Bombyx mori: one gene and its partner. The protein of the gene in region 2 interacts with the protein of the main gene of each other region in a pairwise test. Links are inferred from orthologs where the notes say so. Each region holds a gene or a part of one and is shown on either strand. Other genes may lie near its edges. The genes, in order: neurexin 1 and rho GTPase-activating protein 100F.

Region 1 (3,828 bases), on a different chromosome or scaffold from region 2:
CTTCGCCGTTGGACCCTGAACCTTCGATGCAGTCCTCGTCGTCGCAAGGCTTCATCAGCTTACCACTCGTGTCGCCCTGCAACCGACACGTTTACACTGTATTTCACTGCCAGACGCAATACACGTTATGCACATCGTGTGTCTCTCTCTAACACCAGCGTTAGAAGAGGATAAACGATACGTTCAGTTCCCGAGAGCTGGTGGTTCCCGAGAGTCAACTTGTGCCGGATACATACGTCGGACACGTCAATCGGTGTGGCTTTCATGAGGTAGGGATGGGGATGGATATAGGCCACTCCGTGAGCTTTAGCCCCCGTTGTGCAAAGGCTCTGGTATATTAATGCGGTGGAGCACCCAAATAGCGACTAGAAACTTCTAAATTTGACCATTTTAATTCTGTTTTCACGTTTAATACCGAATGTATTTCGAAAAAGAAGACAAGCGATTTTTTATATGTCTCCCACTGGACTGACGAAGCTAACGGCCGGCTAGTATGTTGTTATCGCCGGAACTAATAGACATCTCATCGCCGACTTTGGCACACGGGACCGAATTCTTGATTGCTTTACAAAAAAGGCTTCGGAACCGCATGGATTGCTGCCGGACAGATCTGAGTGGATAATAGTACTTATTTGTGCTGGCTTATACCTCCATCTGTAAGAACCAGACTGCCCATTCTTCGGCGGAACCTTTAGCCACATTTGCCACACCCATAGCAACGATTAATATGTTGCTATTTCGGCAACCGTGTGGTTGTGCCAATAGTGTTGTATTTTTCCTTAGACAGTAGAGGCATACGATGTATTAACGTCACTGAATATTATCAAAACAAACCTTATGCGTCTTCGAAGGTGGTCTCCTAGTCGAAGGTACATAAACGGGAGTGATGAGGTCATCACCAGACCCTGCGTCGGGGAGTACGCACGCGTCTTCGTCATCATCTCGGCATCCTGAGCCTGCTCCCGAGTATACGAGCTCGTCCAGTACTCCCGGCCCTCCGTAGCCCGATGGCGGGGTCTGATAGAACAAAAGAATTTCATTTATTTATTGTATTGTATCATTTCACTATAATTGTCTGTGTCATGGAAGATACGGGGTAGGTGACCCTGATCCCGTCCAGCTATTACTGGGTGCTCTTCAACATCCACAGAATTATGATGTTATTTCTATCTCAGTGTCTGTTTAAAACAATGTGCAAATGATTGGTTCTTAGGCAATTCGAAATTGTATTATACCAATGTAATTTTCATTAAGTTTTATTCTTATAACGAAACGGCTCCAACGATTTTTATAAAATTTAGTATACAGGGGATTTCGGGGGCGATAAATCGATCTAGCTACGATTTATTTTCAGAAAATGTTGTTTTATTCGTGTTTTCAATCATCAACTTTATTGATAATCAACTTTATCGACATCTATGGGCGAATAATAATACTATTTTTCATAATTGAGAGCAACTAACTGCTTTAAAGACACAATAACACTAAAGCTATTTCAGCAGATGGCGTTGTTAAGCCACCAGAAGCCAATGAATGTTTGGTTTAAGATTAGATCAAGAAAATGAATGGTTTATTTATATTATTTGTGTCTTTTGAACTCACGTGTTCACATAAAAATGCCTAAACGATCTTGGAATATTTCATCATTTTATCAATATGTAATTCGTATTTAAATATACTTTCTAAAAAACACAATTTATAAAAAAAAAAAAAAACAGGTCGTCGTCTAGTTATTATAAATAGTTGTAAGAACAATAAAAGAAAAACATAAGGTCATGCTCTTTTTTTTATTGCTTAAATGGAACGAGCTCACCACTAGTGTTAAGTGGTTACCGTAGTCCATAAACATGTAATGTACAAAGTAAATGCCACCAGCCACCTTGGGATATGATATGTTCGTACCTGTTGCATCCTGTTGATGTCCCTGTCGAGCGGCGCGTGCGCACGTCTGACGTCACCGCGCACGGACACGGCGGGGTCGCCGGCCGCCGCCAGCTCCAGCACGCGCACGCCGTCCACCACCAGCCCCGCCAGCACGCCGCTGTACGGGCGCGCCGAGCCGCCGCCGCCGCCCACCGTCACCACCGACATGCTGTTGAAGATCGTCGACTGCTGACCACCTAGAAACAGAACGGTAACCTTCATTTTATTGCAGGGTCCATTGGATCTCTAAAGGGAATGCCGTCACCCTCCTTGAGACATGACCAACCGTCAATTGTATTGTAAATCGCTGATCCCATAGTTCCAACAAGATGTCACGACTGCTTCAAAACCCTTGAATTATTTTAAGCTATTGTATAGGTTTTATACCGAATCAAGAAATTCCGTCACGAAAATAAAACCTAGCACCCCCACTCCGCCTACCATGTAGCTCGCGTTCAACACATTCACACGTTGCACTTGTGTACTGTTTGTAAATAAGCGCACGGCGTGACGTCGCACTGCATGCGCATCATCTAAAGTCTGCCCATCTCTCTCTCGCGCGGTCTAGCTTATGAGTGTGAAGGGGACAGTTAATGTTTTGCTTTCCGCGGCAGTCCCCGAGTGCCACACGTGTTTTTTATTACAAACCTTAGCGGTCTGACTTTTTACGAAAAGTTCCCTAAAGTCAACTTTAAAAAATCTCTCCACCTTGCGGATGCCGAATGATGACGTCATAGTTGTCGAGCTGGAGCGACGATCGGCTGCCGTTCCTCGTAAACCTCGCCACGTGGTACGCTCCATCATCGACCCTGGTCGTCTCGTCGCCGAGCGGATGGTCACCAGCACCAACGTTGTACACCATGAAAAGGTTTCCGCGAATCTGAAGAGCAGTTGTTGTTTTTAGTATTCAAATTCAAATTCAAAATCATTTATTTCAACTTAGATGTCAGCATAACACACTTGTTGCATGTCAAAATATAAATAACAATATTAACTGAGTTTATTTTTGGTTATTTCTCAAATATTTTCTTTTTTTTTAAATAAGTAAAAATATTTACAATAAACGAAAAAACAAATAAAAAAATACAATTTTTTTTTATTAAGGCCACATTAAGGCCTTTTTAATCGAACGGAATTATGACTTGGTTGAAGATTTTCCGGCCTCACTTACAATCTCCATCTGCATATAATCTTGAGTGTTTGAAGACTCGATTTTCAGTAACACAGCATCTGCCTTGCTGGTGACGAAGCCTAACGCCACTTTGTCCATCTCCGTATCCGCTACTGAGCTGGGCGGGAACGTGTAGGTTATTGTCCCTCTGCTTGGTCCGAATTCGTAAGCTATTGATTCTGGGTACACACAATACAAATAAGTTACAAAAGTATATAATCGTATTTCGAAATATTTTACGAACGCTCCAAACTGTAAATGACGCAATGATATGGGGTCGCAGGCTCACAAGAAACATCATAATCGCCAACCTTCAAACATAAGGTTAAAATTTCAATTGCCATTTTTTATAGACACTCATCTGACATTGGATGGCTATCGTCGCGCTAGACATCATCAATGCCGGAGGTAGGAACAAGACACTTTCTACTGTTGTGGAACGTCTGCAAGCTTCCTTTGAAGAAAAGCCAGACAGTACGTGGCAGAATAGATCTGTGGAAACGCACTGTGAGCACTGGTCCGGTGGCGAGCGATACGGTGATAAAAACGAAATGATGATATTCTCTCAAACAATTCGACAGAGCACTCTTCATGGACCATACGGTACAAGACCGAGGACTGAAGTCTCTCCGTAGACATAAAGGTTCAAAACAAAATTTTACAAGTTTTACTTATTGCTTATTGTTAATAATGGGCCAATCTCTGGGATTTGGGATCAAAGTCTATCCGTGGAC
Region 2 (4,412 bases):
TTAAAAAAAAAAAAACAGAATCGACTTGTATTATAATTTTCAGTCGTTCCAATATTGTTACTGTAAATTCAATACAAGAAACAGCCATTTATAAATACACACGAAACATTCATGGCTTTGCAGCTTCGATTCTGACCCACATACAAGTCCCGATCATTAATTATTAACACACGGTTCCGAAAGGGAAAATTTTACTGTAAGCTTCGTTTAACGAGATACTATTAATCATTGATCAACCGTTTCAAATTATGTCTGGTAGCTTAATATCAAATTAATATCAGATTTCACAGGTGGTAGGACCTCTTGTGACTCCGTAAGGGTAGATACCACCACCCTGCCTATTTCGGCCGTGAAGCTGTAATGCGTTTCGGTTTGAAGGGTGGGGCAGCCGTTGTAACTATACTGAGATCTTAGAACTCATATCTCAAGGTGGGCGGCGGCATTTACGTTATAGATGTCTATGGGCTCCGGTAACCACTTAACACCAGGTGGGCTGTGAGCTCATCCACACATCCAAGCCGCTACCTATAAATGAATTTGAGAGTTTATCAGGCTGGTACTTTCCACGTGTCCATTGCCAAAAGTCATCGCCTAACAATAAAGACCCAGAAGCTTCTTAAATAAATTCTAACAGTAACAATTCCAACGGAATATAATGATTGATTGGATTTATTTTAATCTGTAACGCAAAATAACTAATTGCACGCTTGTTTAATCTGATTTTTTTACAGTTAATTAAGTTTGCTTGTATTCTGTCACTATAACTAGCGTGACAATCAAATCTAAATTATAATTTACATTTGAAAGCGAACAAGTGGTTTTTTTTTTGTAATTACTACTCGCTAATTAAAGTCAGTACACGTAATAATAAATAGTACTACCGAATGTTTTTCAGATGTATGAATGTGTGTGATCAATGAAGGAAACTGTCTTAAGTGCACAGCGGCAGAGGAAATCACGGCCATTTTGGCAAGCTTAAAACTTCACCAGCTACCTTGACATATGAAGATCGAAGTCTTCCAAAAAACCCACTTCTACTCTTCACACTGAGATGCATGATTATTTTACTGATGGTAGGACGTCTTGTGAGTCTGCACGGATAGGTACCACCACCCTGTCTATTTCTGCCGTGAAGCAGGAATGCGTTTCGGTTTGAAAGGCGGGGCAGCCGTCGTAACTATACTGAGACCTTAGAACTTATATCTCAAGGTGGGTGGCGAATTTACGTTGTAGATGTCTATGGGCTCCAGTAACCACTTAACACCAGGTGGGCTGTAAGCTCGTCCAACCATCTAAGCAATTAAAAAAAAATTCACTACACTTAACGTTTTAACAACAACCGTGCTACATCATAAAAGCTATGTCATATTTAATCGAGTATTTAAAGATCATAAAATCAATACGTATTATAGAGAATTCATTTACAGAATTTCATTTTGAAACAGAGTTCTACGTCCTATAGAAGGGAAGTATAATTTCATTTGAAAATACTGTTTTTTTTATTCATGAATAAAATAATTAGTTTTATATATTTATAAAATTGATTTATTGAGTGAATTTATAAAATTATACTCAAGGAGATGAGTCCGATAAAAGAAAAAAATAATCGCTTGAGGAACAAATGTACCAACTAAAATGGAGCTCTTCGGAAAAGATGATGAGAACGTATTTTAGTACAGCGTAGTTTGAATTCATACGAATAGATATCTTTATATGTTTGTGTGTATCTTAAAACATTCAAAGTTTTGACTTGGATAGTAGGAAACACAACAAAACATAATATTTATTAAAACTGAGACTCTGAACTCATAGGTCATGGCGGGGGGCTGGGTTTGCGTTGTGATTTCAAACCGAGCAGAGCATGAGTTAGTCAACCCAGCCAATTCAAAGAAATTACGATGTAAGTCCATGTATTCGTTAAGATGTCCATATATTCGATTTTCAATGCGATAAAAGAAATAATCTCAGTTACTTATTGTACCAAATTCTCATACCAGATTGGCTATGATTTAAATCACCCTACACAAAAATACATCTTCTAGTATTTAAACTCTACTAAGACGGATCATGTAGTATTTTACTATAAAAATGCATATAAGATATAAGTTCTAGGTGACACAGACAAGGCGTCTACCTATAATATAACATCTTAAACCAAGATGGCGTAAGATGCTGCGAGGGTCGCCTTCGTTACCCCACATTATAACACGGCACTTAAACGGCTTAATGAAGAAAATTTAATTGAAACTTGAACATTAAGGAAAATCTTGCCTAATTATAATCTAATTAAATTGTAGAAAGGAGGAAGAGGGGAGCGGAAATGAATGTTGCACAAGTGCGAGCTGAAGACACCATAATTCTAAATTAAAAAGCCACTGATGTAATTGGAGGGCGCTTCTTGCTTATTAACAATAGCTTCCCACATAAATCGATCTTGGGACTAGTAACAAGCTCTATTCCCGTCAGTATACAGCTTACTAAAGTTAAGGATTTGTCTTTGAGGTTAACTTAACCTAAGAATTTTCCTAATCATCTCAGAAAATACTATATTATACTATTATATAAATTGTATTGTACTCTAAATAATAAATTTATATAAATGGTTCCAAAGTTATTTCGTGTGACTGATTAAAAAATAAATGATCCTCTAAGCGCAACGATATAAGGAAAATGAGCATAACTTAAAATGTATTTTAAATTCTTGCATTGAACTCATGTGAAAATCTTGTATTGGTTTTCATGAGTGCATACAAGGGGAACAAGACTTTGGTACCATCCCAAAAGAAGCATGTTTGAGAGGGACGTTAGGGAGCGGGGTCGTCGAACGACGTCGGCGTCCGTGCCGGGAGGGGCGACGGTTTCGGCGCGCGCTATCGATCGGATCGCATACCTTCCTGCGGCCGCAGCAGAGCATCCTCCGAGCGCGCGACTGTCCGCCCGGCGAAGACTTCAACCTGGTAAGTTTTCGCCACTGCATGGGTACAGGTTAACGCGGCGATTGCAAGAGCGACCGCGGGGCCGGCATCGCGACGCCGCGGGCGTCAGGACGCGGCCGGAGCACGCGAGCCTTCCTCGCGAAGTGCCCGCCGTGAGCCCGCGCTTGCGCCCTCCAAGCCACCCTCTTTGCCCCTTACTCCTCACGATTAATAATTCCGGCTACGCTGCCAGTGCGTATGTGGGTTAGTTTTTTGGCGATCGATGCGATTATTCGGTGCGAGCCGCTTCCGGCCGCTAGACTATCGCGGTGCACCCGACACGCCGACTGACGACCTATTAATCGCATTTCGACATCACCCTTTCAAGTGGCGTGTCAGCGCTACAACGCAAAGTCCTTATTTGGACGATTACTCGCACATGTCATTTGAATAACCTTAAAATTGATTACTATTTATTTAAAGAGAATTAATACGTGAAGCAAAAACTTTGTATCCCTTTTTACGACGGACGGAGGAGTATGAAATTTTCCACACTTATAGAGAATTTAAAGAAGAAGTGCACAATGCTATTTTTTTTAATAATGCATAAAAGACACATTAAATCAATAAAGAAAACATTACACACACTACATACCATGTATTTGACGCACGCACGCATGCATACTATTTATTGTCAAACTTTTGTTCTTGACGTCTGTGGTCAAATTGAGAATTGATTAAATATTGTTTGTCTTTATTAATATTTTTTTATAGTGTAGCCTTGGCGAAATTTGTGATTATAGAAATATAAATTACAATCATAATAGTGTACAAACTTACAATTCCATTTAATTATAGTCGAATTTTGACTACTGCGGGACCTCTAGTTTATTTAAAGAGACTATAAATGTAGCCAAATTTCATTCATGCTATTGTATAACACCAAATTATTATATTATATTTATTTGCTCATTATTAACACTATTCAAAAAACTAAAAAGTAATATACCTAATTATAATAAATTATGAAGTATATTTTCAATTCGATCTCATCGCTTTTTCCTAGTCACAATTTTAGTCGTCATAAAATAAACAAACCATGCTCGAAAATTAAGATTAGTAGTATAACTAATAATTCCCGACAGAAAACAATTGACATCGCATCGAAAAAATTACATTAACCTATATTTTATGCACGGCACGCAATGTAACATGATGTGAAATCTGCTGACCCACGAGATTTACAGTCTCGCCCGAACTCGAATTATGAACACCGCCACATTGGTTTTACATTTCGGCTTAACGAAATATTAAATCACTAAAATTTTATACCAGTTTAGTAACTTCCAATCAGGTCACGTTCTTGGTGCCCGAACAGTTCACGATTATTCAATCATGACACATAATATATACAAGTTCGTTAAGGAAAAAAAAACCCAATCTATACTAATATATAAATCTACAGTGGTTTTTACGAATGTTCCATAATAACTACTG

The links.
Region 1: the proteins of rho GTPase-activating protein 100F (region 2) and neurexin 1 interact in a two-hybrid assay, tested with the Drosophila melanogaster proteins (2 studies listed by BioGRID). The link is inferred for Bombyx mori from reciprocal best matches to the Drosophila melanogaster genes RhoGAP100F and Nrx-1.

What each region holds. Positions count from the first base shown.
Region 1 is NC_085131.1:13,181,058-13,184,885, reverse strand, and holds part of neurexin 1, read right to left. Parts: intron 3,274-3,828; coding exon 3,095-3,273; intron 2,804-3,094; coding exon 2,632-2,803; intron 2,121-2,631; coding exon 1,903-2,120; intron 1,018-1,902; coding exon 835-1,017; intron 77-834; coding exon 1-76. UniProt on the Drosophila melanogaster protein: Neuronal cell adhesion protein involved in synapse formation, development of synaptic active zones, synaptic regulation and visual function. Plays a role in cell adhesion between the pre- and the postsynaptic cell.
Region 2 is NC_085128.1:5,376,066-5,380,477, forward strand, and holds the start of rho GTPase-activating protein 100F, read right to left. Parts: upstream 3,093-4,412; 5' UTR 2,978-3,092; coding exon 2,891-2,977; intron 1-2,890. UniProt on the Drosophila melanogaster protein: GTPase activator for the Rho-type GTPases by converting them to an inactive GDP-bound state. Promotes the anchoring of Liprin-alpha clusters at synapses. Recruits and keeps Nrx-1 levels high in active zones in the presynapse opposite the postsynaptic region.